Linked DNA regions of Drosophila melanogaster. The protein of the gene in region 3 interacts with the protein of the main gene of each other region in a pairwise test. Each region holds a gene or a part of one and is shown on either strand. Other genes may lie near its edges.

The links.
Region 1: the proteins of CG17377 (region 3) and CG3713 interact in a two-hybrid assay, tested with the Drosophila melanogaster proteins (one large-scale study listed by BioGRID).
Region 2: the proteins of CG17377 (region 3) and PhKgamma interact in a two-hybrid assay, tested with the Drosophila melanogaster proteins (one large-scale study listed by BioGRID).
Region 4: the proteins of CG17377 (region 3) and CG4998 interact in a two-hybrid assay, tested with the Drosophila melanogaster proteins (one large-scale study listed by BioGRID).

What each region holds. Positions count from the first base shown.
Region 1 is NC_004354.4:843,398-850,192, forward strand, and holds CG3713 (uncharacterized protein), read right to left. Parts: upstream 3,761-6,795; 5' UTR 3,707-3,760; coding exon 3,455-3,706; 3' UTR 2,774-3,454; downstream 1-2,773. Other genes in the region: CG14635 (uncharacterized protein), read left to right, coding at 1,440-1,799.
Region 2 is NC_004354.4:11,691,266-11,699,524, forward strand, and holds the start of PhKgamma (phosphorylase kinase gamma), read left to right. Parts: upstream 1-3,871; 5' UTR 3,872-4,014; exon of another isoform or gene 4,015-4,119; intron 4,120-4,558; 5' UTR 4,559-5,046; intron 5,047-5,137; 5' UTR 5,138-5,183; coding exon 5,184-5,275; intron 5,276-5,800; coding exon 5,801-5,979; intron 5,980-6,045; coding exon 6,046-6,330; intron 6,331-6,395; coding exon 6,396-6,486; intron 6,487-7,033; coding exon 7,034-7,170; intron 7,171-7,234; coding exon 7,235-7,332; intron 7,333-8,057; coding exon of another isoform or gene 8,058-8,141; intron 8,142-8,259. Other genes in the region: bif (bifocal), read left to right, coding at 1-148.
Region 3 is NT_033779.5:6,800,526-6,804,332, forward strand, and holds CG17377 (uncharacterized protein), read right to left. Parts: upstream 2,265-3,807; 5' UTR 2,183-2,264; intron 2,130-2,182; 5' UTR 2,113-2,129; coding exon 2,086-2,112; intron 2,023-2,085; coding exon 1,426-2,022; 3' UTR 1,328-1,425; coding exon of another isoform or gene 1,326-1,327; 3' UTR 1,183-1,325; exon of another isoform or gene 1,181-1,182; intron 1,126-1,180; coding exon of another isoform or gene 1,115-1,125; 3' UTR 853-1,114; downstream 1-852. Other genes in the region: CG17376 (uncharacterized protein), read right to left, coding at 1-156; Daao2 (D-amino acid oxidase 2), read left to right, coding at 2,527-2,729, 2,785-2,997, 3,067-3,363, 3,421-3,733.
Region 4 is NT_037436.4:16,335,719-16,347,010, reverse strand, and holds CG4998 (uncharacterized protein), read right to left. Parts: upstream 8,009-11,292; 5' UTR 7,863-8,008; intron 6,576-7,862; 5' UTR 6,568-6,575; coding exon 4,795-6,567; intron 4,407-4,794; coding exon 3,525-4,406; intron 3,218-3,524; coding exon 2,919-3,217; intron 2,854-2,918; coding exon 2,250-2,853; 3' UTR 1,770-2,249; downstream 1-1,769. Other genes in the region: CG33257 (uncharacterized protein), read right to left, coding at 1-337, 643-688.

The DNA.
Region 1 (6,795 bases), on a different chromosome or scaffold from region 3:
ATATCTAAATTTTTCTTCCGACAACTATTAAAATCTAACTAATATTGTAAAAGGTTTGAAAAAATATACTTAATTAAATATAAATACTTTTGTAGATCTGTATGTAAAATATTACGTGGCGCCATCTATATCTGAAGGCGTGTTAATTCTGAAAATTGCCCAAGTAAAAGGTATCTGATAGTCAGGGCATTTGACCACAACGTTTCTTCATGGTTTTATTTCATAAGCCACAGAATACTTAATTAACTTTATTAGTTGGGAATTGGTTATACTTCCAAAAAATTATTCTTAAGCCTCTTAGTTTTCAATGGATCTGTAAAAAAATTTACAGTGTAATTTCAAATTCGATTCTACAACCCGATGTAAACATTTATCTGATACACCCTCTAACAAATTATTCAACTTAGTGCAGACACAAACCCTGATAAGAAGAAGTTCCCAGTATTTTCCGGTGTGGTGAATTCCGTTTGAGCTCTTAAAAAATGGTTATTTTGCGGTCCTTATGCTTTTGGGGTTTTTCAGCATGGGAGGTTTTTCATTGGGAATCATCTACCCAGCCACCCAAAGGATGGTCTATCCATCAATGAATCAATCATGGGAAATGACACACAATTTGCAGCTAATAGTAATAATGCTCTCTAGCTAATACAATTCATGTCGCTGGGATCTGCTTCTTTGCACCTGGTATTACGATAATTTTGGAAAACGGGGCTAATTTCGCCCTTGGTCGCTTGCTTCGCGCGTTCTGAACTCAATGGATTGCCATTTAAGAAAGGTGAAAAGCCGGCCGCGGAAATAGCCCTCGAGGAATTCCCGTCCAATTAATCACCAAAGTGGCCTACGGAACCCAAGAGTCCAAAGGGAGGAAGGGCGTAGAGGAAGATGGTTAAACGTCGCTAAGGGGTCCACTTGAAGCGCGCAAGAGATCGACTGCCGTCTATTTTGAATGTCTTAAGTGCATTAATTTCCGCTTTTTATGCCATTCAAGTGGCCACTCAGTTAAGGGGGCGGACGGGGGTGTGGAGCCCATTGATTGATGGACGTCAAATTGCTGTGCGAAATATGAAGAAGCCTCCTCTACCGATGATGAATGGCGGAGCGGAAGTGGCAGGAAACGTCAGCTTGACTTGATGGTAAGCTTTCATACATCTCTTCAGTCTGAGTTAACCTTTGCTAAGCTGTTTGAGGAGTATACTCGTACTCCTCTACTCAAAGGAGAATCTAACTGCATATCCAATCAAATGTGAAGTACAAGTACCGTCTAAAATTTCCAACATTGTTAGGAAGTGTTTTTATTTGTTCGCTTGGTCGCTTGGTAATGACTAAGTCTACTTAGTGTACTAATTGGCTGAGCCATTCCCTTTGCCAAAAACAGCTGCATAGCTGCACGATTATAAATAGGGTGGAACCACCGACAAACTCGCCCAGAAGCAACAAATATGTGCTCTAGTTTAAGCGACTTGTTTGCCTGTATCAGGGCCCAGGGAAATTCCGACACGGATTCCACCAGCACCACCCATCGGCGGAATATCGCTGACCTGGACGATGAGGCGCCCGATCTGCAGCTCCAACAGGAGCAGACCCGCAAGTGGAACGATCTTTCTATGCCACAGCGACACGATTCGTTTCCAGTTCCTCCTCCTTCAGCTGGATCTCCATCAACGGGCTACCTTCGTCCCTCATTGCGGTCAGCACGGGTCTCCTACGAAGCCTTGGAGCGCTACGATCGAATTTTTGGCAGATCTTTCCAAGACGCCGGGTCATCTGGTTCAGTTCGAAATATTCCCGACCAGTTCTAGGCGGAAATTGTTTGGGATTTCGGCATTGACATTAAACATGTGATCCCGCATATTCCGCTAAAAGTCGAACACAATAAATACATTTTACACATTTTCCTGACTTGACTATATGGACAATTTACTTGCATGCGATGGCTGGCTGGTGTTCGGCGCTGCGACGAAACTTGGCCAAACCATTGGATTAAACATAAAGCTGAAAAGGCAGAAAGTTCGGTTCGACTTGCGTGCGTGAAAGATTGCGAAGGTTTTACCGGATTTGGCCGTCCTCATCCGTACACCTGTTTAATCAGGGGCGTTCTGGCCTGCCAATTGGCGACTTAATTGGAAGGAAATGAAGCGGCGGCCTAAAGCAGAAAACATTTGGCATTAATTGCTGGTGGTGTGCCAAGGGGGGTTGGGGAGGGGGTCCACTTTCCTTCAGACACTTCAGACTTAAACACACAAGTTTTACAAATGTGGCACGCAGTCGCAACAAGAACGGAAACGGAAAATGTTATTTCGCAGCCACGAATGCAATTCCAGCAAACAAATGGCTCACAATGGGTGAAGTAAACCCCCGAAGCCACTACTGCCAAAGGAGGTGACTTTGCCCATTAGTCGGTTTAGGTGTCGTTTGCCGCTCTGCTGAAAGTTTCCAGCGAATGTCGCACTAAAAGTTGTCTTTCTCGCGATTGCGATACAGATGTGAATATATAGGAGGTCTTAAAGGGTGGGTGGACAATGCTGCAAGGAGCATGGAAGCAGATCTTGATGGGCTGCAGTAGCTGTGTCTTATCCGACTCGGAATTGCTTTGGAAGAAACGAGTTCACACTGACTGTATGCTACGACCGGAAGAAGAGCCCAATTGATAGGTCAACAATGAAACAGTGCAACTGCAAACTTGCTTTAGAAACGTATTACTCTGTGGTCTGCGCGTCGTATACGTAATGCGACCTACCGCCCCACAAAACGAAATAAAACATTTTAACAGTTTACAAACAATATTTTCATATTTATACTCATTTCCATCAGTACTCGTAGAGTAAATAAGTCAATAACAAACTTTAATACAGACTATAAGGTATCCGATAGTTGGCACACGACTACGAGTAGTTTCTATTGTTTGGAAAACTGTGCCTGGTTCTTTGGTGCTCCCAATCGAATCCAAACATTTACCATATGTGCGTGCATATACATTTTTAAACTTTTGCACACATAACATGATACACTCAAGTAATCCTATCCCATTTGAAGCTAACGTACACAGCCTTTGTCAGATTCGTTTAACCCTCTCCTGTCCATCGATGACCTGTAGATTGGTTAGGTTATTACGCCCATTTTTATTGGCTTTCAATTCGGATGCCAGTTGTCTCCTCATTTGGTTTGTGTTTTGATTGCAAAAAGTTAATTAAAATTTTGTTGTAATTGAATTTTATTGCATTGTTTGTTTGCATTTTGTTTTGTTCAGTTTTTTTTTTTTTGCTTTGTGCGGAGCTTTGTTTGAGTTTGTCGAGTTTTTCTATTTTTTGCCGTCTGTTTTGTTGTCTGGCCATTATGCCATTTGTTGTCATTTGGTTTTTGCCTTTGGTCTTAATTGGATTATGGCAAAAAGAGTTTTAATTAAACCAAATGAAGCGGAGTGCGGAATGCCAGTGAGTGGCAAGCTTTTTTTGAATCAGATGATGGTTTCCGGCAGCCTGGGATCATCATAACCATCGACGAAGCCTTCGAAGCTATCATCGCACTCCTGGTCGGCAGCCAATGGATTGCGGATGAGTTCAAAGGTCAGTGGCGGCAGCGGCGGCAGTTCGACCTTTACCACTTTCGGCGCTGCTTCTTCATTCGCGGAAGTCGATGGGAATTCCATCATACAGTCGTCCCCGCAGCGTCGGCAGTACAGCAGATCCACCAAGAAGCCCAGAAACATCCCCACCTCTGATTATGCGGTGCTCGCCCGACAGCTGATTTCGCAGCACTGACGATATCGGAGGCCCACCTACTACTATACTACCCTACTACTTCTACAGCCCCAGGCATCCACGCGTTCACAAATCCGCGCTCCAAGCCCCACGCCCCACAATCCACAGCACAGCTGCGTCCACAGCAGAATTCGAAAATGGATGGATTACAGACTCGCTCGTTTTCCGGTAAATCCATCGTCATCGGTGTAAAAAGCAAATGACAAAATTAATTAAAATTAAAATTAAATGTCGCTTGTTTGGCGTTGATTAAGGAGTGCGATCATGCATTATGCATAGCACATTATATCGTATTCACTGCATCGGCATTACGTAATCCACTGTCCACACACACACGCGCGCGCATTTATGCACTTATGCATTTATGTTTGTTGCTGTATAGAATGCACATTATAATTACATTTATGCGCGGCCATCAAATTCAATGGGACTAAAGCATTTGCATAGCGTCTGCACGCCCTGTTTACTCATTAAAGTCGAATTGCGAGGTGGCTTCCGTTCCACAAAAACAAAAAAAAAAAACACTTTTGAGCCCTCTGCAGGGAATACTACTATTTAATACCAAGCATTATTTAGACCAACATAATTGGGGATTTAACGTGAATAAAGTTTCGATTCTACATGGTGCTGTTACTACCCTGATCAGTTCAATGCATTTCTGCTCTGTCCTACTCACTCACTCGCTGTCTGCTGCAACGAAAAATTCAATTTGGCCAGAAAGAAGAGCTTAAAAAAAATGAATAAGAGTGAGAAATTTGCAATCTTTTAATCACACTTACTCACTAGCTCTGTCCCTCTCCTCCCTGGCTCTCTGCGCCTCTCTCCATCCCGCTCTGTGATTTTAATTATGCTTAACAAGCTGAGAAAGAAGCAGCAGCTGCGGCTGAGGAAAATAAATGAAGGCCATTGCTTGCCATCCGCAGGTCCTTTGAGGACTCCCGCTCCACATTTCACACTTTATGGTCCCCATTTGTTAATATTAAGTTGGTTGCTTTATTAAAGGTATTATGATGTCGGAATGTGACTAATTAAACGCACTCGGTCCATTTTTCCATTTTTTTCTTATGCTGATCTTACCCTAGATCTATGCTGCCCTTTGGGCATTGTTTGTTTATATGTTGGATTTTGCTATAGCTCTTCCTATTCTGCCGTCATTCGCCTTTCGAACTTTTTATTGTGTCAGTTAAGAAATATAACGCGGAAAATGCAAATTGGTCACAAATAGCTTATTTATGCGAAAAAGCCTAGAGCGCAAGCAAAAGACAGAAAGTAGGCCAATCATGCCACAGTCAAATTCATGTCAACCGCATGAAGGCCAGGCCCATACGCACCGACATCCTCTCCACACCACTCTCCTTTTTTTTTTTTGGGCTTTGGGTCAAGTGGAAAGAAGAACAAGCACGACAAGAATAACCACAACATGAAAAACTAGGTTAACATGGGTTAAGGTGTGTCATTAACTTGCCACAAACACACATGGGAGGCCTGGGCCGGCATTGAGTTTGCCCCACGGCACTGCACTGCGCGTTTCCCCTCTCCCATTCACCATTCACCATTCCCATTCCCGCAATTTCCATTTTCTCTTTAACCTATCCCCCACATGCATGCAGTGAGAAAAATCAGGTCCAGCAAGGACTACATGTTTTTGTTACTCTGCGTATGCTTAATGTCTTAGCAAAAGGCCCATTTTCCAACAGAGAACGCTGGAGTCGAGTTCCCCGACTATCAGATACCCATTACTCCACCTTAAACCCAAATGGGAGTACAAGCAGCACAGCGCCTATTTCCACAGTTTCACGCGAAAGTAATAATAATACAATTTTGAGCTTCCTTTGCAAGTGTTTTGCCTGCGGAGCCATTAGAGGGGCGTTTTACCACTGCTGCCGACGACTTCTCATTACGTCTAATGTGCCAAGGGCGACTGCTGCACCTGCGCCGGCACTTGCAGCATCCCCGCCTGGCTGAACTAATTAGCAGCTAGGCAAAGTCGAAGGCAGCTCAGCTTAGAGCGGCAAAGTTCTTGCTCTCGGTCGCCATCGAAATTGACACAAATTGGCACAGGGCGAATACATCAGGGCAATCAGATTAGACGATGTCGTCGTCATCACGTCATGTGCGTTGTGTTTTCCCAGTGCGCCTCATTTTCCAGCCCCCTCTCGTTCGCCGACAACTTCGTTTTTTCGCTCCATAGGTAAAAGCTGAGGAGGAAGCCACAGGAGCCACACAGCGATTTTGCAGCTGCTTTCAATCATGACGCACGGATTAGGACTCAGGTTAAAGATTAACAATGCCAAACAAGAGCGACAGACAAGGCGGGTTCCTCGTCTGTCAGGCAATGGAGGTTTGCTCACGTCACGCCCACTATTAGTTAGAGCGCTCCTGATGAATGGAATGGTTTGGATTGGATTCGCTTGGCTTGGATGCGACCATGGAGTGGAAGGAAACGTAAGATAAGATAAGCTGATTGTGAACAGCAAGTGCACCGAAGATGTAACAGAAGCCAGATTAGTCAAGAGAAGACTGACTTGAGGGGAAGCGGCATCCTTGGATATAAGTTAACGTTATGCGAGAAACAGGTTGGCTGCTGGCAAGTATACCCAGCTTGGTTTAGAGTCATAATATAGACATTAAAAACATCTTCTTTTCCCCCCATCTAAGTGAAATCCCTGATCAACGCGCTTTGAAATAAACGCCTCTCAAGTTGAGTGCAAAGGGAGAGTGTGATGACCGCAAAGCATTGTCATAAAAAGCAAAAATGGCGAGATATCCCAAAGCTATTAGCAGTTGATAGCGTCTCAAGGACTCCGGCCAAATCAGGACCAAGCCCAAGCCCAAACTCCGTCTGTCTCACAGGCGACTTAAGATAAGGCGAACAAAGCCGGGCGAGGAATAACAATTAGTGCATACATTTGGCAGAAGAAAAAAAAGTACAAGCGAGGACAGGCAGACACAAAGAAGAGAGCAGAGAAAAGCATGAGTCCGCGCAATAATCACAGCCAAGTGCTGCATATTTATAGGCGCAATCAACTTTATTGCG
Region 2 (8,259 bases), on a different chromosome or scaffold from region 3:
TAGGAGTCGGGGCAGTTGCGAGAGTCCAGCTCCAGAACACCAGCAGCGACGTCGTCGGCCTAGTCTGCCGTCGTCGCTGGCTTTGTCCAATGCCAGCTCGGCCCTGCTCCAGGCACGCATTCCAGGCACCACGCTCTACTATGTCTGATGGCCACCCGATATGAAAAGCATTAGACTCCAAACTCCAGATAACCAGATATCCAGATAACCAGATACTCCAACTCCGAACCGATTTGAAACCGCCAGCGAAACGTAGGCATTGCCCAAGCTTTACTATATGTTTACAACTAGGCTAAAGAACACCCATCATCCCTTGGATACCTCTTGGTGACCCCGTTCCGCTCCCAAAAAAAAAAAAAAACAAAAATATATATTGGTTTGATGGCCGCTAAACTGTAAAGTGTAACCCTGTGCATATCCGACTCACTCCAAAACAAATAACTCAATGCGGAAACCAGGAACACCAAACCCGAACACACCAATCACAACACACACAAGAAAACAAACACTGGGGCAACCGGACACTCGAAACACACGTTTAATCGATTCATAGATGCGATTCACGATGCTTCCCGATGTCGATGCACTGCCGCCGTTAATCGTTTATGCGATGCTCTGGATAACAATCAACAGTAATTCGCGAATTAGCGAGCGAAGAATACGCGAAGGATGATGGATTTTAGAACTAACCTAAATGATGGATAATGCTGGTGTCCCCATGTTTCACTAAAACCAAACCATGTTCCTATGACTGCTGCTTGATAATGCCCTGCTCCCCCGTCTGTATTCATTATCCACAACCTTAGGTATAAGATGCTCCATAGTCTTTAGCAACCATTATATGATAGTTTACCTAGTAAATCGTATGCCAATCATCAGATTGAACTGTACTATGCCCACCCAGCCCATGTGGAAGTTAAAGATTATTGTAGAAAACTATTTAGGTCACCTATAAATGTTGGCAACGCCTAAGAATTAAGCTAACTACTCAGCTAGAGATCGCAGAAACCGAAACAATTGCGATAATTGATAACTAAGTGTTCATGGCAAATTTTGGGGTGTAACTAAACGTTTAATAAACGAAAAGTAAAGCAACTAAAGCTGCAGACAAATCAAAGAACCTTTATGTAGCGGCTAATTTCGACATGTGTTCGGTGTAAACCAAACAAAAACGAATCACAGAACACTAGTTAGTGACTATTTTCATTTCAGTTACGTACTTAAGTATATATATTTGTGCACCCGTGTGAGTTGGCGTTAGTTATGTGTTATGTGCTTATGTATGTTTGCTTTGTTTGGCTCAGTTCGGTTTGGTATGCAGTTGTGGGGCATGTATTGAATTGCAATTTGCGATTTGAAATTGTAGCCATGTAGTTACGCTAACCTACCTTCTCGCCCCCGCTGTTTCACGCCACCCAAATGGTTTTTCATTTCAACAACAACCTTTTGTTAAAGTCACCGCTGTCGCTTTGTTTGTTTGCTATTTGTTTACTTCTATTTCTATTTTTTGTTCATACCAATTTCTTTTTGCAGATATTATTTAAATGTAACAGAATACATAAGCAAAGCGTTGAAATAATATCTATTGTATACCAAAACCAAAAATATCTATGATAACAAACAAGCAAAGGCAATTAAACCGATCCGTAAACTGAATAACCGATTAATAACTGCAGCCGCTCAACCCGAACCGCAATAAATAACTATCAAGTAAAGAATAGAACAACTTAACAATGAAAAATGCAATATTCAATATGCGAAATGACAAATGCCTAATGCCAAATGCCAATCCAAATAACCCAATAACCGATTCAAGTGCGAGAACAGAAATGCCACACCTCTAACCCAGTGCACTTGCTCTGTCTGCTCCGCTGGGCAATCAAACTAATCGCCAATTCATATTATTATTAAGGTAACTAACCCAGATTAGAACAGACACTCGAACACACGCACACACCAGCCACCAACACCACTTGGCACATCCTAGTCATATCATCAACTTCCATCGCTCATCTCCACTTCCATTTCTTTATCCACTGGTCATGTTTCGTTTTCATTTGCTTGAAAAGATCCAGGCGAGATCCTCCTTTATCCACAACACCGTCACCTCATCTCGATTATATATACATATAAATATATATATATATGTTCTGAAATATATATTTCCCAACTCGGAGCCACCTTATTTATCATTGTACTAACCCCAAATCCTTGGAAGGATTTAAACCCACTTGAAATAAAGATATACAGTCGATTAATCTCGTTCTACACATAATTGCAGGCTCCACGGCTCTGGGCTTCTACACGCCCATGAAGGGCACGGCGATGGACAACCTATTCCAGCTGGGTGTCACCCGATACGCCCTGCCCGAGAGCAGCAGCAGTGGGAGCAGCAATGGCAGCCACAGTCCAGGCAGCAACGGGAGCAGTCCAGCCGGAGCTGCGGGCAGCCGGTTGATGTTCAACGGGAATGGCAGCATTATGGGCATCGGCGAGGGACTGATCAAGGAGGGCGACTTGGCGGCAACGGAAGCAGGACCTGGAACTGCAGATGGAGCAGGTGCCTCCAAGAAGGGTTCAGCTGTGGACGAGGATGATTACCATCTGACGGCGACGCCGGGCGCCGAAGTTGTGTACAGCGAGGGTACACAGAAAACGGATTTGCTATATTAGGTCGTCCTGCCAGCCAAAAAACCGGAGCGTCTAGCTCTTTTTCTACCGGTTTCCACCAAACTCCAAACCTTCCGAGCATAACAACCTACCACATCCTGATCGTTCCCCTAATTGAAAAGCGTGCACTTAGGTGAAATATCAACTTCGGTTAGACGCGAAAACAGTAACGAAGGAAAGAAAAATAAAAACAACAAGGCAACGTAAACCAAGTATGGCAAGAAATCCATAAAGATACGTATATAAATAGATATTATTTGTAAGTTTGTAAGCCTAGAGATCCGATGTGTATGTGTACAACAGCAAGCGTGTGTGTCTGTCTTCTTTATAAATATATATATATGGTTTTTTTTTTTTGATAAATTAATAATTATATTATTGTAATGTATCTACATACGGCACTGAATGAACAACTTTGCTGCTGCAATTGTATTTGTATTTGTATTGTGTATTCCATTTACGGCATTTTGATAGTAAATATACAACAACAACAAATCAACGTATTTCCGACTGCATCCCGAAGGTTACTGAAACCTTAATCCACGAAGTACGCGACGAGCGGTTAGTCCCGCCCGAGTATTAACTTAATGGATTCTAACGATCCGATCTTGTGACCCATCATCATCCCTTTTCGCGACCCTTCCAAAACGAAAATGAAGAACATTCTAAGCTCCGCTTGCCCATTCAGCGGAAGAAAGCAAAGGAAAATGTAACATTTGCCTCATAATTATTATATACATTTAGCGCTTATTGAATATTTTTTACAATTGTATTCCGTAAATAAATATAAAATACATCAACATCTAGTCGCGTGTTTTAAGTTAAAGGAAGTTAAGGCCAAAGCAAAATGTTAGCAACAGTTTTTGTTAAAAGTTAACATATATAATAATGGTAATTTAAATATTCAAATCTATGAAGTGACTTATTTTATAAGTCCACTTATGTTTGTTATATTTAATTGGTATTTAGAAAAGGATTCATTTTAAATTAACACCGTTGAGGGTTCAATTTTGGTAGTGCGTCTTTGCTAACCATGCCGAGTGGGATCAAGTCCTTGCTAAGTTAGGATGTTGTCTTAGCTAACTGTGCCATCCCTGGTCGGGGTGTGTCTTAGCTAACAATTACGTGTCGATAGATATAATGCTATCGATATGACAGAGTGTCGGGAACAATCGATAGCATTACTTCGATATCGGTACTAGTGCCACCTCCAGTTTTGTGATTGTGTCAAAAATACAGGGTTTTATTGTTGCACTAGCAATTTAATCCGAGGAATATAAATTTTGTGTGGAGTTATGTTCGAGACGTCGTTGCCAGCGATTCAAGAGGCGAGCGGTCACACGTGTATGTGTTTCACTGGCGGTGCGGGCGCCAACTCCGCCAAAAAGCGTACTACTTTTAACCTTAGTTGACATTGAAATGTACCCGCTTAGTTGGATGTCCACGATGGTGCGTGTGTGTGCGTATATGTGTGCTATGCGGCGTCTGTGTGCGCGAGTGTGTGTGTGGGATTGCAAAGGAGGATGGGAGAAACGAGAGCAGAGCAAAAACAAAAACAAAAGGAACCTGCTGCACATAGTCGGTGCATGCGAGCGTGCTTATGTGTGTGTGCGTGCGTGCTAGCAAAACAACTGCAAGAAATCAGCAACAGTAGTAGAAGAAGAGAAGCTGTATCACTGATAAGGAGGCTAAACAACAACAAAAACAGCAACGATAATGTGCACCCTTTCGAAATGCAAACAAAACAAAGCGTTGTAGTTGTGTAATCATTCGTTGTGAACACACCACACACACACACACACACAACACTTGTTTAATAATACATTTTAATTCTATTATTTTTGATTTAATTTTTGCCTGTTATTCAAATCGATCTGTGTTTTTGCAGTTGGCATTCGTTATTAATTAAATCAGCCGCCAACAGCTGAGCGAGAGAGCAATCGAGAGCGACAGGAGAGGATCCACTTCCAATCGAATCGGGTGGAATCGAATAGCAGGGGCTTGGTAATTAAAAGGAAGACCGAACTGAACTGAACTAAACTGAAACGGAACGAAGCGAAGCGAAGCGCGGCGAGGCGGCAAGAAACGAAAAGAAAAGAACGAAAGTCGGCAGAGTCGGAAAGTCGGCAAGTCTGATTGTCGGCAAAGTCGCAAAGTCGGAGAGTCACAGTCTCAATCGCAGTCGGCGAGAGATTCCACTCGTGTCGCACGTCCGTTCGTTTCCACATTGTCGTTATAAAAATAGCAACGCCTTAAACGATCGCATCAACCTCATCAACAGAACACCACCAGAAATCACCGCCCCCTCCTACGCCTCAATCGCCATCGCCACCGCATCCCATCCCCATCATCTTCATTAGCAGGCAGCCTGACAGAGTAACTAACTGATCTTGATTGCGACCATAATCACCGTCATCATCATGTAATCCTTCACTAACCAATTGATTTCCGCTCGTCCACCAAATAGATTCCAAACTGCCGTTTCGGCAGCCGGCAAGATTTCACGAAATCTAATGGCCAAGGACGAGGAGGATGATCTGCTGCCCGACAAGGATGCGGCCAAGGGCTTCTATGCCAAATACGAGCCCAAGGAGATTCTGGGCAGGTAAGAATCGAACTACACTTGCCGTGATCTCAAACCTCTTATTAAATCCTTTTAAATTCAGTTGAAGTATTATTGATCCTGCACTTAACCATTCAAATACGTTTCTTTCTATTTACTTTGCGTAGTTAATTTTGCAAATTTAAGATCATAGAAACATTGATACTTGTATCCTCAGAAATCACTAGAACGTCCAAATATTGATTGTTTCTGCTTTCCCAACCTCTTACTGCCAAGTCTGCAGTAATGCAGTTTGGGCTAAATGGTGCCAAGTGAGTCAGCCTCATCAAGCTTCCATGGCATGGAGCAATGGCATGGGCTGCTTTTCAAGCGGCGCCTGTCTGCCGGCCTACTCACGCCACAACGAAGATCAGAATTTGCCAAGCAAATAGCAGAGACTAAGCGAAAACAAGGGCTAATTACATATTACAATTCTAGGGATTAGAGATTAGATAAATACCCGATCATGGCAATGTCAAGTGCAGCAGAAGCAGAGCTCTTTATCTACATGCAATGTTTGTCTTACAGGGGCATCAGTTCGACCGTGAGGCGATGTATCGAAAAGGAGACGGGCAAGGAGTTTGCCGCCAAGATCATCGACTTGGGCGCCACCACAGAGTCAGGCGAGACGAATCCATATCACATGCTGGAAGCAACCAGACAAGAAATCTCAATACTGCGCCAGGTCATGGGGCATCCCTACATAAGTTAGTCTCACATAGCACCCACATGTACTTAATTCCACCACTAACCATCTACATTATCGTGCACAGTTGATCTGCAGGATGTGTTCGAGTCAGATGCATTTGTTTTCCTCGTCTTCGAGCTGTGTCCCAAAGGTGAACTCTTCGACTATCTGACCTCTGTGGTGACGCTATCCGAGAAGAAGACGCGCACCATTATGCGACAAATCTTTGAGGGCGTCGAGTACATACACGCGAAGAGCATTGTCCATCGGGATCTTAAGCCCGAGAATATCTTGCTGGACGAGAACCACAACGTTAAGATCACGGATTTTGGCTTCGCCAAGCAGTTGCAAGAGGGCGAGAAACTTACAAGTAATTATAACACAGCATCCTTCTGTATTCGCTAAGCTAAACTATATGTACTTTCCCCCTATTAGATCTGTGCGGAACGCCGGGTTATTTGGCTCCCGAAACGCTCAAGTGCAACATGTTCGAGGGATCCCCCGGCTACTCGCAGGAAGTCGACATGTAAGAGCGAATAAACTAGCCACTTATTATTACACCTTTTTTTGGCTCACTTAAATTATAGAAGCAATTTAAGCACAAAAAGTATCACATTTATTGTAATACGAATTGTCTGCTCAAATTACTAAATTGCTTATGTTAACAGCTAATTTTATTATTAAAAATTTTTGCTTACATAAAAAAAGAAAGGTCTAAACTTTTGTATCGATATTAGACCCGTTTTCCTTTTTTTTTTGTTTTATAGACGCAAATTTTGCTGATACATTTCATTAACTAGTGTTCCTCGTGTCAGGCGATTTGTTTTGATCTTTAGGTGTGCATTTTAATGAATGAGTCAGAAGCAGAAAGGCATAATAATCTGAAATCTGAGTAGTTCCGATACCGACGTCTATATTTCTTCGGTTCAGCAAAACGTAGGGCTTTTTGTATTTTTGAGTTCTTTAACGTTTCCCACTGGTATCTACGTTACTTGGTTTCAGCAGAAATTTTTAATAGGAAAAATTGACACCTTTTACCCATTTCTTTTTCGATTTCTTTTTGTTGTTCGCAGATGGGCCTGTGGCGTGATTATGTTTACGCTGCTCGTCGGTTGTCCACCTTTCTGGCACCGCAAGCAGATGGTCATGCTGCGGAATATCATGGAGGGCAAGTACAGCTTCACCTCGCCGGAGTGGGCTGATATTTCAGGTTGGTCAAATTGATATGCACATGCCAAACGTATGCTTATTTACTTGGTTTCGATTGATTGCAGAGGATCCCAAGGATCTGATACGCAAATGTCTAGTCGTTGATCCTTCGCAACGTATAACCGTCAAGGAAGTATTAAGACATCCATTCTTCAACCAAATGGTAAGTGCCGGAATTGTTGGCAGCCGCCGGGCTCCAATTACCACGACCACCACCACCACCACTACTACAACCGCCTGTACAAGAGGAAAATCAGTCAAATTAGTTCAATTAGTCGCCAAGAATGAGGTCCGCCTACGAGTCGTCTTTTGTGCTCGGGCAGCAGTCTATAGTTTTCGGGTTCCTGTTCTTGTACATAGATACTAGATCTCTAGTTGATGGGTTTAACCTCGGGTGGGTTAATCTTCTACACAACCAATCCACCAAAACAACCAAACACCTGGCCCTGCAAATGTTTCTAAACACAACGTACATCTAAGAACACACACTCTGATGGAAAGAACACCCACCTGTGACTCACAAACCAACCACTCACAACAGCCTATTAACAGCTTCTTCTTACTGTTACCTCCTAAAAATACGATTATGATTTATAATTCGGTTAGGGTAGCAGCCTAACCCCCCGTAGTTTAGTTCAATTGTCAGATTTATAGCCTGACAGGATCAGTCATTAGTTTGGATCCCCCGCCCCCCTTAAAAAGAAAAAGAAAGGAAAACCCTTCGGAACCTCTTGCGTTTTGTTAACTTTTTATTTCTATGATTACTATTTATTATACCAAACATTTTCTTTCTTCTTTTCCTTACATATAAACTATATATCAAATCGAATCCAATTAATTTTAAACGAACCCAAACGAACGATAACGAACACACACTACCATCGATAGCTGTTCGAGCAAAACATTGATGGCCTCAAGCGCAGCCTGTCGACCAAGTCCCGACGAATGAGTCGCATCACTGAGATCGCACTGGTAACGAACCGTTCCCGGACTAACCCAAGCTCTCTCTATCTCTTAATCTCTCTGTGCTGTGTGTCTCCGTGTTCATATATTGATATCGGAGCCGTAATCGTAATCGCTCTAATAACGA
Region 3 (3,807 bases):
ACGGGGATCGGGAATGCCGCCCTCGGGCAGAGGGGGACAGCACATGCCCGGAGCAGGAGAGCACGGGATGGGAGACGGGGCTCCGCATGGCGGACTGTGGGGGCCACAGCAGGGTGTTTCATTACAGGGTCCACAGCATCCACATCCGTTGCACATGTTGAGTTTGTCTAACGCTGCGGGCGAAAAGTTAAGATGTTATACTTTTTGAACAAATACTTAACACTCACTTTTTTGGTTGAGTTATTATCGAAAAAGTAAATTTGGAATTTAGAAAAAAATTTAGAAGTCGAAGCGACTGGTCCGAGAGTCAGATATCGAATGAGGTTAGCTGTTCCCTTGGCCCAGCACATCCAGTTCAAGTTTCGGTTCGGGTTGGCTTAAAAGTCATGGCCAACTTTATGAAATTTCATGGCCTACTTCGACTTAGCAAAGATTATGAAATCGCCACAGATCTACATAATTATATATCTATATTTGCCTTATTCACTAAAACAAAATATTTGACCCGCGAATTGTTTAGGTCAACTAACTCACTAAGATTGGAACATGGCTCTCCCAGCTCGAAAAAATGGGTTTAAAACAAAGTACTATCAGCAAAGTTCAACTTTTAATTAATTAAATCTTAAATGCCACGGAAACCCACCCTAATAAAATTGATATTAATTAATATAAATATCAGAATATCTGTGGGACATATGAACGTAAATTTTTATGGCCTTGGCATAAGGTTTCAACCTTAATTTACAATTCTAATGCCAGGCTTAAAATATAAATATTCGAAGCATAAGTGCAGCCATAAAATAAACGCAACCTTTAACACCCCCCATAATACACAGAATATAATTTCAATTTGTTTATTTGTAATTTAATGCCAAATAGATTCCAGATACCAACATATGATTTTGTGTTTAAATCAAGACCGTCTGACGAATTGCACATGGGTTCCCAAATAGCTTCGAGCCCTTCTAGTAATGGGTATTCCGCAGCTGGCTAAATCTTGATTTAAGCCAACTTCAATTTTTTATCAACCAAAACTACGTCACAAAACGACAACATGTCCCGCCAAGGAAGTGGCCCATATCAGGATCCGATCGAAACACTTGCCAGGAAATACTTATAAGCCACCTGTGGGATGAGAAAGGTAAAACCAGTGAATGCAGAAGGTATCGCAGTTACTTACACGCGACAGGATGCGGATGGAGGTCAAAGGGTCATGAAGGATTTGGGGCCTGGCAACAGCATTTGGTCCATGGATCCTACCTCTACGCTCACAAAGCCCAGGACATGCTATCATTGTTGACGGATCAGCGTAGTGGGCATAAAGCTCCTGCAAAAGGACATGAAGCGTCACCACAAGCACATGTTCCAGATGCTGTGACCTGCAAAGTCCTTGGGCATGCCTCGTGCTCCTCCGCTCCATGGTTTTTACGTTCTACGGACGCCCAGCGCCGTGACAGATGGACAAGCAGACGGACAGACAGGCGGACAGGTGGACGGACCTGGACCGGACTTACATGGGTACGTCACAGGTGCGTTATAGTAGTTCCAGACACGCGGATCGGGAATGCCGCCTTCAGGCAGCGGAGGGCAGCACATGCCCGGAGCAGAGGAGCAAGGAATGGGCGACGGAGCTCCGCATGGAGGACTGTGCGGGCCACAGCATGGAAGACTGTGCGAGCCACAGCATGGAGGACTGTGCGGGCCACAGCAGGGCGATACATTACAGCAGCAGGGACCGCATCCACAGCAGCCGCCGGCAACGCGTCCACCGCATCCGGCACCGCCATTTGGTGCTCCAGTGGCGGCACAGCGCATACGCTTATTGTTCACGCCCATCATCATGTTAGCGTAGCGCAGCGGGAATGCCGCCGGACCGCAGGTGGGGAAGGGGAAGCACAGGCAGGCCGGTCGGCCCTGGCAGGCGGACCGCGGGCACTTGTCCTGCAGACCGTTCCGCTTCACGCAGTCGCAAGTGGTGTACATGATGCCGCATCGTAACTCCCGACTGCGGCATCCGCGCGGCTGGAAAGGATGCATACATAGTGGTCACAAGTGGTCAGTGGTGTGTTGCATATGGTTACTCACCTCCAACGATCCACATCCGTCACACATCTTGAGCCCGTCGAGCGCTACAGGACAAAGGATTTAAAAATATACTATGGTCTTCCCGGGATAAACTTACTCTATTTGGTCAAATTAATTTGGAAGAAAAATTTGGAATTTGGAAAATTTAGAAGCTGGCCGAAACGAAAGGTCCGAGAGTTTGGTATCGAATGAGGAATGATCAACACATCCCAACACACATATTCGGTTCCGTTTGAGATGAAATGCAAGGCCAACTTGTTGGAATTATAGCCTACTAGATTTTAAGAAAGAGTTAATATTAGATTCAAAATGCAAAAAGCTTTTTCGCTCTTTTTAAAAGCTCTGTTATCAGCTAATTGTATTATGCGATTTGCTTACAATTCTGATAAGCGATCCTCTTTTCAGTTCATTCCAAGTTCCCAAGCTGATCGGATTGGAGCAATGCCTAACATTGCAGTTATCGGTGCCGGGGTTAATGGTGTTGCCAGTGCCATTAAGATACTGGAACACTATGTGAACGATGGAAAGACACCCATAAAGGTGACGATCATATCGGAGGACTTCACGCCTAACACAACTGGAGATGGTTCGGCTGGTCTCTGGGGTCCGTACCTTCTGGGCGGCACTTCGCAGGCGAAAGTCTAGTAAGTTTTACTAGTCACTATATTATATTCTTACTTATAACTTTTTTTCCATCAGCAAGTGGTCGAAGAGCATGCACCAATTTTTGGAGAAGATCTGGCTGAGCGAGGATGCCGGAGAGGCTGGCGTTTGTCTGCTACCCTGCATTCGGCTGAGCACCTCAACGGTGGACACGGTCGAAGATTTTTGGCGTGACATTGTCTATGGAGCAGTGGATCTGTCCAAGGAACAGCTGGCTGCCTACAATAAAGGTCGCAGCGTTAAGTTCACGTAAGAATATTCATAGATATCCATAGATTTATACTTGCTGAAATATGAACATATCTAAACCATATCTAGGTCTGGTTTATCCTTTGTTACCTACACCTCGGAGCCCATTAAGCTACTGCCGTATTTGATGAAGCGTTTCACCCGAAATGGAGGTGTTGTTGTCCGGAAAAGGATTACAGACCTGGATGCATTTGTAGCCGATTCCGAGTACGATGTGATAGTCAATTGCTCCGGATTGGGCTCTAAGACCCTACTAAACGACGATCAAATGTACGCAGTGCGTGGCCAAGTTTCCCGGGTGAGGGCCAACTGGATTTTCTCTGCCGTGCTGGACGAGAGTGATGATGGCAACTATATTATACCCAAGTGAGTATTTGCCAGTTACACTTATTTGTTCGTATTCCAATATCTGAAATATTTAAGCACCGAAAGTGTTGTCCTGGGCGGAACCCATCAGGAGCGGGACTACAACACTAAAGTCTGCCAGAACGACAGGCGGATGATCGTCGATGGCTGTCAGCGGTACATTCCTGGTTTGGAGCACACGGAGTGCCTCTTTGATTGGGTAGGTCTCCGGCCGGGTCGCACCCAACTCCGACTGGAAGCCGAGCGCCGCGGCCGCAAGCTCCTCATCCACAACTATGGACATGGCGGCAGTGGAGTCACTTTGTGCTGGGGCTGTGCCGACGATGTCCTCAATATCCTGTTGGCCGCCAAGAACGGTTCCAAATTATAAGTCAGTTGGAAAGATTATTATTTTAGTTCTATAACAAAATTGGTAGTGTAAAGGTAACAGCATTTAAAAGCATC
Region 4 (11,292 bases), on a different chromosome or scaffold from region 3:
GCCAGTGTATTCTGGGCTATATAGGCCGCCTGCTTGGCAGCTGCATGCTGGTTGGTCACTGCACTGTGAGCCTGATCCGCCGATCCCTGGGCAATGGAACGCAGGCCGCTGCCAATGCTATAGCCACCGGATCCCTTGCTGGAAACTGAGGAGCTACCTCCCGATGTGGTGTAGTAGCTTTTGGTGCTATGTTGTGGCTTCTCTGGCTCGGGAGGCTCTACTGCCGGCAGATGGGGCTCAAAGTAACCACCTTGGTGGATTGGTGGCGGTTGCTGCGGTCGGTAGTGATAGCCATTCCTCTTGTGCAGGCGACCCAAGGCATTGGACAAAAGGAGCACTAAAGGTATTTGGATATAAAATAAGATTTAACGTGGTTTTTTAACCGAATAGGAATCCTAAGTTAGGACCTAAGTAGGATTTAAGTTTTCAATATCCTGGTGTCTTTGTATCTATTTCTTTATAATTTGTATCTCTATATGTATATAAGACAAGTTCAAGGGATGTTGAAGATTTCCGAAGAGAATCTATTCGATTCGGGTATGAGAATAGTAATCTTCACTTTTCAACTCTTGGAATTTAATTTTTAAAGAACGGATCACTACAACTTTTCACTTTGTTATAAAAGGGTATTCCCCGGCTTACCCAAAACAAGCTGGGCGAGAAGAAAACGTAATCCTTGGCCGTACATTTCGCTAGCGCTGCTGGAACTGCATTGAACTTCAAATTGAATGGAAGTGTACAATTTATAAGTCTTTCAGAGCCGCCAGCCGAGCATAAAGTTTATCAAGTTGCGGAAAGTCTGTTGCGGTTTTTAAATTTAACTGATCGCGGGCATGTTATGATTTTCCATCTCCAAGCTATTTGAATAGCTCTGCCCACTATTTGGAGAGCTGGGTCCACACACATGGCACCTTTACACCCATTTCCATCCATACCATCCCATCGAGGAAGTTTAAAGTGACCGCCTTTGAGCCACAAAATATGGTGGCGTTTTTTTTTTAATGGTTCGTTGGCACGCTTGTTTGAACCAAACGGACAGTGTAAAGTGGTCGGTCTGCTCGGGTTTGTTAATGTTTTAAATTTAATTTGCATTTTATGTGCTGCACTACTTTGTAATTGAACCTTAAGTGGCTCTTTTGACGGGATTCAAGGTGCAACGATGCAGGGAAAGCCATTTGAGGGATTACGCTTTCGTTTAGATTAACTAGCCCACGAAATTTGGCAATTTACGAACGGGGGAATTTTCCAATCAAAATTTGAATATTTTTTTAATTGAAAAATTATATAATGCTAATATACCGTAGGAGGCGCAACTGTTATAGGTAGTTGTTGTTATATAATAATATTACATTATAGTTATAATATTTATATATAAATAAATATAAATATATATATATATATATATATATATATATATAAATATTTATATAAGTAAATATACAAAATCCAAAATAAAAAGATATCTATAAATACTATAGTACTTATAGTACTTAAAAAAAGATTGATAATAATAGTTAAGGCGAAATTATCACAATCGTTGCTGTGTATTGGTATTAAAGGGTTTAGAAACAAACATTTTATCAAGGTAAAAATATTATAAGCATATTTTTACCAATGCATACTACAATTGCTGATTCTCCATACTTTTTGAAAACATTTTTTAGACCAGTTTCCATATGTGCGGATTTTAAAACCCTTTGATAACGAACTAACTTATTGTACATTAGTAGTTTCCCCACCCAAGTACCATTATGAATGACACAATTTTTATATAAATTATTTTTTTTTTATTTAAATACATAATTATTTATTACAAATACATAAATAAATAAGTTATGACAAACACTATTTTACAAGACAAAATCGGAACTCGGTGTACAAGATTCGCGTTACAATTAATATCAAAGAAGTGACAAGGTGACGCGACGCCAGTGCGTCTTCAATTGAGCAACAACTGTGAGTAGCTAATGAGTGGGTCAACAAGTGAAGTGAAGGGAAGTGAATCATATATATAACAAAATATAACAGGTATTCAAGGAGACATCCGTAATAACTAAGAGTGATAAATACGATGACGAATGCCACTATCGAAACGATTCGGTCGGTAGTTGGAATGCGAGAGTGTTGAAAGATGGCTTCGGTCAGAAGTGGAAAACGAACTCATCGGAGGAGGTGTCAACCGGAACGGATCCGGTGATATTCGCATGGTAGCCAGTCACCTCCTCCTTGTCAGTCTGCTGATCCGTTAATCATTGATAGCTCTGGGTGATCTGTTGGATCCAGGGCAGGTAGGCGGAGACCTTAACGTAGACGCCGGGAACGTTCACCTGACCACATCCAATGCCCCAGGACACCACTCCGACCACGTGCATGGCTCCATTCCGGTCGCACACCAATGGGCCACCGCCATCACCCTTGCAGGCATCCTTGCCCTCCTCTCCGCCGGCGCACACAAATCCGGGATTCAGTTTGTAGCTATAGCCCAGACGCGTGTTCCTCAGCTGGGACTCGCACTGTTGGTGCGATAGGATTGGCACATCCACCTCCTTCAGAATGTTCTGGTACTTTCCGTGCTCGCCGAAGGCATCCTTGCCCCATCCAGTTGTCCAGCAACGAGCTCCAGTGAAATCGGAATACTTGTCGGGCAGACAGGCGGGACTAATGTGCGGATTCTTGGTGAAGTCAACGGGTTGATCCAGTTTCAGAACGGCCAGATCATTGTCCAGAGTGCCGGCATAGTACTCGGGATGGATGTGCACGGAAACCACATCGCGTTCAATGTAGGGGAAGAACTCCACATCGTGGTTGACATCCCATTCGCCCAGACGCACACGAAGATCGAAGCCATTTTGACTGGATAGAAAGAAGCAATTGGTTAATGCTCTGGTGAAATATACTTTTATGACTCTAGAACTTACGATTTAATGCAATGGGCAGCGGAAATGATGTGCTGGGCATCGATGAGCGTGCCACCGCAGGCGTAGATCGACTCCTTGGGATCCTTCTTCAGAATGGCCACATGCCAGGGATACTCGCCGAACTCACTGTCTCCATCAACGTAGACGGGATTCTTGATGCGACCGGTGATTCCAGCGGCGTTCCTCACTCCACAACGACCAAATTGCTGGGGAGGAGCCTGGGGACGCAGTGGACGACGGCAGCAGACTTCGTTGATGCGGCAGGTCTTTTCCACGGGTCGGTTTCCATAATAGGCACGCTGGAAAATATCAAGGAAGGCAATCGCAATTAGATAAATGTTGGAGGAATGGGTACAATCTTATCTGGATTTGAAATGTACTTTGAATGCCATATAACTTTTCCTAATTACCATCAATGATTTAATCAATAAACAATTAAGAATATTTATAAAATGTGGGGTTCTTTGACTCTTAAAAAGTTTTACAAAATAGTTACATAATTTGGGACTGAACTTCTCATGAAATTTTTCAATTTTGTAGTTATGGACTTTAGTACTCTATTGACGCTTTCGAATGAACTTTAATGCTTTAGCCACACATGGTTACCTGCTCCTTAGGAGCTGCTCCCGCCCACACACCATCCTCAACGCTCCTGCGCCTGCGATCCCGTGGGAAAGTGATCCGATCACTGCCAGCTGCCTCACCAGGAGCCGGAGTGGGAATGTTGTAGAGGGGTCCCAGGTTCAACTGTTTGCCACGACGACCGGAATTCGATGGCCTGTCTGTATCACCACCGCTCACATTGGCACTTCGCTCCACATGCTGTGAGTACTCGCCATAGCCCCCGAAATCGGGACTGGATCCGGGATATATAGAGTTGAAGGAGCTCTCGTAGGGAGACGATTCGTGGTGGTGATGATACTGAACAGAAGGCCCACTGTGATACTCAAATATGGGAGTACTTGGGACCATTTCCACACTGAAATGGAGACCCGGTCCAGTTCCTCCATAGAAATGCGGATACGAGTGGTGGTCATGGTGATCGTGGTGGTCATGGTGATCGTAATCGTGGTGCTCATAGCCACTATAATGATCGTGATGGTGGTAATGTGTACTATACGCTTCGGTGGGCTTCCGCTTAAAGAAGTCTCCCACTTTCTGAATGAGATTCGCATTGGGAGTGACATGCAGATTGACCAGTGGCTTCACCACCTTCTCGCCATATTCTGTTTTGGCCACCTGCACCGATACCAGAGGATTCACATTCACCAGACCCAGATTCAGACCATTTGGACCCACCGAACCGAAGTACGGGTTTTGAGCGGGCACATGATCACCCAGAATATTCGAGGGATAACCTCCATACCCGCCAGTGGGATAGGGCAAACCAAAGCTGACACCGTAGGTGGGCAGCACTTTGCGTTGGATCAGCTCGATGGCCTGGAGAGCGGGCAATGCCAATGGAGATCCTCCGAGCGGGGACTGTCTCTATTTGTTGGTAAGGGGAAAACATAAGAACGCTAGAGGTGGAGTTCCATTTCTGATTGCCGGTTGCAGGTTGCATGTTTCGGGTTGCAGGCGTGCGATCACAAAGGTCGTGCTTGGTTAGCTGGTTTAGTTCTGGGATTAGTGACTGGTCTAATCGGAACCGATTTGCACTCTGGTATTTTAGTTGAGCTTGGAGCGTTGAACGATGGGTGCAGTTGTCAGATTGGTTTGATTTGTTGATTGACTGATTGATTTGTTGTTTGATTTGAATGTGTGTGTGTGTGGGAGGGAGGAGCTTGGCTAAAACTCGATTAGTGGTCCATGTGAACCATGTGTGATTTGGCATTAGTTGGGCACTACTTAAACTAATAGACTTCTATGGACTTACCCCTTGAGCATCGAGTGAGAGATCGCTTGCTTCGTCATCCTTTTGATCAGCCTGGCGGCGGGTGCGCTTCTTGTCATCCTTGTCCGCCTTCTCCTCGTCCTTCTTAGCCTCAGCAGTAGTGGTAGCATTGCTGGATAGAGCATCGTCACTCAGAGCCTCAATGTCCTTGCCCAGGTTGCGGGGATCAATAGGCAGAATGAGATCCTCCTTGCGTCCAATGCGATCGGCAGCGGGACACTGGGAGATGGGCACACACTGGCAGTCGACGATCTGCTGGCGCGAGGTGTCATATCCACTCTGGTACTGACCCTGACCCTGGTAACCACCAGAGATGCCATTGTACTGATTGGATGCTCCACCTTGCAGCTCCTTCTTGTAGTAGTCGGGATTCTGGCTGTGATAACTGGAGCTGGGCGATCCACTGAATCCTCCAGAGGAACTGCTGCCAAAGTTTCCTAGTCCTGAGTTGGGCTTGTAGAGATCTCCAGAGTTTGGTTTGTACAGATCTCCAGTGGGTTTCTGGGAGATTCCAAAACCGTTCTGCGAAAGAAGTCCACCCTGAGAAGCACCATTAAAGCCAGCATTGAAGGCATTGGACTGGGAGTAACTGGATCCGGAAGAAGTCTGAATGGAGGGAGTGTATGTGGCAGATGATTGGGCCAGGGCACTGAAGTCGGTGTTAATGGTCTGGCCAGCTCCGATGGGAATTGGCACACTGGGAACCTTTGCTCCCTCGCCACCTTCAACATGGTGATAATGATGATGCACATGTTGCTGCAGACCATCGAGCGGTGCTCCAACCACCACTTTGGTGCTGGAGGATGTGGCCGAGGCGGAAGAAGCTGAAGACTGCTGCGAGTAGAAACCATTGGGAGCAGAGCTTGCACCCTGGATGCCACCCTCGGGGTTCTCGTAGTTGTATGGAGGAACTCCATTCGAAGCACCAGTAAAAACGGGTCCAGCTCCCAGAGAAGGACCTCCGGTGTAGATGGGTCCTGGTGGCTTGCTGTCATAGATCAGGGCTCCGGGTGGTGGCTTCGTGTAGGTGATACCGTCGGATGAACCGTCAATGGCGGATGGTGGAGGATGCTCCAGGTAGCCACCGGGTCCAGATGGCCTGTAAGGTCCAGACATTGGCTTGTATGGTCCCTCGTATCCCACCTTCCTTGGCGGTCCAAAGGAGTTCACGGAGCTGGGCGGAGGTCCAAAGGAGTTCAGGGAGCTTGGCGGAGGTCCGTAAGATCCAGGAGGTCCACCCATTGGTGGACGACCACTGAAGTAGCTTGGTGGGGGCATGGGCTTAGCCGGACCATAGGGACCACCGCTGAAACCAGATGGTGGTGGGGGACCCTGGGCATAGATGGTCGAGTAGAAGGGACGCTTCTCCTCCACATCGCAGCTCATCAGTCCCAATCCACACAGCTTATCCCGGATAAGATTGCGGGCCTGCATATCGTTTCCCTGCTGCAGAGCCTGATCGATATTGCCATCAGCATAGACGGCATCGTATTCCCCCAGATTACGACCCTCACGGCGGGAGTTGATCAGCTGCTCGATGACCTCGTCAATCTGGGTGGTGCTGTTGCTCTGGATGGACTCGTGGACGAGGTAACGTCCCTGAATGTCAGCTTGTTCGGCGGGCTTGGTATCGACAGATCGGCGACTGGGCATGGCATCCTCCATGGGCGCCCACTCATTTCCCCAGTTGGATTCCTCGGCCAAGGAGGCGGTGGCCAGCAGTACAACTGCCAAAAGGCTAGTTCTTATTCTCATTGTGAAGCCTGTGAAATGATTAGATAGAAAAACTTTAGGATACCAATTCTCTAATATCTACGGATATATTAATCAAGTGATTGATTGACCATCTTTGTCGCCTTTTCTTTTGAGTGGAAAATAAATTAAGAGGTTTAGTCATGATTGGTTATGACATAAGTGGCGAGCTTGACACCATTACCCCAAGTCATTGTGCCAGTTTACATTTCTCCACCTAGCCACCGATCCCTCATACCATCTTTGGCTTAACCAATCCGTAACAAAACCGAATCCGAAGCCCAAACCGGTTAGCATCACGAAATCTTCACCGTGACTCAGACTCTCGTATAAGACTTTTACTTTCATTGGAGGTCGCAGACCGTAGCACTTAATTGCCTGATTTTGTACGTTACTTTTGCTCGAAATGCGAGTCGGGATGGCGAGGGGATCGCTGGCTTCAGGTCCCCGTAATTTATGAGGTAATTTTCCTACAGATTTAGCAAGCCTACGACTGCAATCCCACCGAAGACCATCGCTCAACTTGATCTCTCGCCCTGACAGCCGCTTTCCGCTTCGTGTCTCTTTTATTTGGTAAAATTCACTTTTCTTTTCAGCCTTTATTTTTATGGTCGTTTGCATTGCAGTTATGTCACCGGCTCACAGCGAGGGCGGATTTTGTAAAAGATCGGCTACACTTAACAAAAAAATCAATTATGAATGTAATATTGGTTTAAGGAGTAACTAATAGGATAGCCAGAATTATAATTTTGCCACTCGGAATTATATGCTTAAGTAAGAAGATATATTTATATTTTAAATGATTATGTAAACAGATCTGATTCATCTAGAGCGGCATTACACACTACAATTTCGAGTTATATTTTATTTTTTATGATTTTTTTCAAGTATATATTTTCCAGTTATGTAAATGTATCTTTGGATTTCTTTAGGCCTGCTTTTTCGGCCGGAAGTTGTGCGCAGCGTTGCATTGCAAATTGCCGGCAACTTTTTCGCTTGGATTTTCTTTGGCGAGAAGTGCTCGTAAGCGATGCTAACTGCCGTTTGGTTGGGTTTGGGAAATTTTTTTAGGTTTTTCCTTTGTGTTCGCAGTGAAAGTTTCGCTTGTTCGATTGGCTTAATGACGCGGAGGCTCTTGGCCAAGAGTTTTTATTAAGTGTATGTATGTAGGCATATTTGCAACAACCATAATTTCATGTGCTGCAGACTCATAATTCACATCTAATAGCCATTCATTTAAATTAGTTCGCTTTCGGTTCACTTGAGTTCACTTTGCTAATTTCGCTCACTTCACTCACCTTTTTTGTGTCAAGTTTATTAATCCAATTGGTTAGTTATCACTGTTGTCCGGATAATCCTTATGCAATTTACTGAGTCTCTTATCCTTTCACTTCATTCACTTTCTGCACCGATTGTGCTCTTCGATGCTCTGCAGATCGTTCACTGATTTCGCTTTCGTTGGCCGCGCACATTTTATACAAAAGCTGTGCATGCGCGCCGTCGACGTCAAGCTCCAACGTTTCGCTGTCTCTGTCTGCATTGATTCCGTCTTCTTCTAGCTTTCATACCGCCTTAGTTTGCGAATCGGTAGCCCAAAACAAAAGATACAAAAGCGGCGACGGCGACAATGTTTGGCAACCCCTCTTTTTCGCTGTTAGTGTTGATTTTTCGTCTGGGTTTTTTCCTCAAATCCCCAATTCTGCCCAACTACTGGAGGTCAGTAAACGAGGCGGAAATAGGCGGAAATATCACTATGATAGCTTCATTATCAGTAAGAAACCCAGAAACTATCATCACATTCAACACATCTCTTAAACATAACTGACTGTCTTAAACATCCAAATGGGGCTTTGTTTTTTTTTTTATGATTTTACCAAATTTTAAATAACCAAATTTAGCTTCCCGGAAAGGCGTTGCTTGAGAAACCGGGATTATGCAATTCTGCAATTATGAATTGGGTCAGAGAGTAGCAACCGCTGAATAATAAAAACATCGTGAAAAAGGGTAAAATTGGGCATTGCCTCAAACCGGATCTTTTGGCATACATTCATCTTTCCCCATTTTTTTTTTACTTCATACATCTGCCTCTCTTTTTGGTTGCAGTTCAGTTCAAATCGCCTGGTTTTTAACCCATGGTCAATGCAAACGTCATCGCTCGGTCACTCGTTTCATTTTCGTTTATTTTAACGTTTTTTTTATTTAACCTAGCTCACTGTGAGTAAAAAGCGCTTGGCGGAATTACCCGAAGTTCATAAAAATTAGAGACATTCCCCCCAAACTTATTCACGATGATCACGTTCGCGTGCCACTACCTTAAATCCCAATCATTATCAGGTTTGCGTTTGTGTTGTGTATGGTCAGTGCTGCCCGGCCGGAGTGAGTCTCATTGTGATTCAGTGGCTCCAGTGGCTTCCACTTGTGTTACTGACCTTGGTTCGATGTGCTGCAGTCGTTCATCTAGCCCCCACCTAAGTGGCGTTTTATGTTAAGCATTCCAAGAAAGTTGATAATGACCAACAGAGCTTCGAAAATTATGCTAATCACATTGATTTTTCTCGGGAGTTGTTATTGTCGCCACTCTGGGCTGTTTGCCAAACACCTTTTGGCTATTTGCTCGCGATTAATTCACGAAGTTTTTATCAATCAGCGTAGCGTGTGGCGTAGTTTTTGACCATCGGGTTTTTTATGACTCATACTATCGAGCACTTTGGGCTTTTCGAAGGAGGTGCGACGAACCTTATTTTGCATCGTTTTTAATTCCGTTTGGCTTACCTTTTTTTGGGGGTACATCAATAAGATGGAAATCGATTTTAATACATTGTTAATATAATATCTATAAAGGGTTTTCCGAATGTAAATATCAAACTTATTTAAATGTACGTTTCAGTAACTAATACATCTATTTTCGTTTGTTATACTCTGGTCTGAAAACTAGCATACATGATTAATAACTCATTAGGTCTTAAAAGCTTCATATCTTATTTAAATATAAATATTTAGATAACATTCAAACAACCTGATATTTGCAGAACAATATAAATAATGTGTTGATTTTATACGTTTTTATAAGTTTTAATTTAATCTCATCTATTACAGTGTATCTACGAATGCGGCTAATTGCTATCTACAATGATTTTCCTGATAAAAATAATTTTGGTAGTTAGCTGAAACTTGGCTATTGGTAAATCCCAGTGAGTGATGAACTGAACTTGAACTTGGACCTCGCCGGAGACAACTAATGCCAGGTGGACAGTTTGTAATCCGATGGGGTTACAGGTTCAGGGGCTTGTTATTGGATCTGCATTTCGGATTTGGTATATACTCATATCTATTTATGGTGCGCTCCAACATTTTGCACATTTCTTGGGCCGCACTATTACAACATAGCCTATGTTGATTATGGCCAACTTGTTAATTGTTTGTCCAAATGGATTTGTGTGGGAATCGTGTTTGCTCTACTTTGTTAGCTTCCTCCGACTGAATCACTCTCTCCTTCTCTTTCGCTCACCATACCTTTCTCTCTTATACCCCTTCGCACACCAAATTGTCGCAGTTCAAGTCCAAAAGCAATAAAAAAAAATAAATATTGTCACTGGCTCAAGGCTGAAGTGCCGACTCCCTGACTTAGATTTGTGTCAATTGCTCAACAAGTTGAGGTCTTCCACCCACACGCACCATTTGGCTAAAGACAATTTGCCAATCTCTTTAAGCCAACTACATACATCGTATATCGATTATGGATTTAGAGCTTAACTTTTGAGGGGAAATAAAATCAAAGCAGCACACAAAATTGTAGTAAGGCGATTGAAATTTAATAAGATAGTTAGAAAATATCTTTATATTATATTGGGTTTAGTTTAAGCTCCTTACATTAATTTATAATTATTAATTTGTTAATTTATATATTTTAATAAATTATGAATTTTGTTTTTTGATACATATCAGCGGATATGCACTTTTTCCAAACATTAAAAATAATCATAGACGATTAAGTACTTTACTAATTAACTATATCATTTTTCTGACTTACTTATATATTTGGAACATAACAATTTTTCCAGTGCCTGCAATTGCATTTCGCTTTTTTACTGCATCTGCAATTGTGCCATGGATTTGCCCAAAAAGTATTCGCCAATCCGCCGCTGGAAAATCCCAAGAAAACCGAACTGAAGTTTTTGGTCTCGCATTGTTGGCCTATTCAATTCTTGATTGCCTGCTGCCGGCTTAAACCGCTTTGGGCCTTGGGGAAACCCCATTCAAGTTTGTGGCCAGCATCGCATGGTTGGATTTGTTGGGGGCTTGCATAATAATGCACTCCAGTGCAGTGCAGTGAGCCTATGGCTTATGATTCACATATTGGGAGTCGATTTGTTGTGGCTTCGATTCGGTTTGTGTGCCTGGCATGCGAATGAGTTTGCCGCTTTTGTTTTCGTTGTCGATTCGCAGTGTTATTTGCGAAATGGCTGGTAATAAAATCGATGCGTATGTTTTGCTTTATTAGTTTATTATTGTAATCATCATAGTTGGCCAAAAGCATCAAGGTCGTTCACCCACATTGTGTGATATGCATACGGATTGAATAGAGGGCGGAGTGGGTGAGTCATGTCGCCAGCAGACATCTTTTGCTCCCACTTATTCCCCATGGTTATTACATAATATCCCGAATTATTTCACCCGCATCAAATGCTTTTGCTGCTGCTGCTGCTGCTGCCCTTTCACTACTCTTTT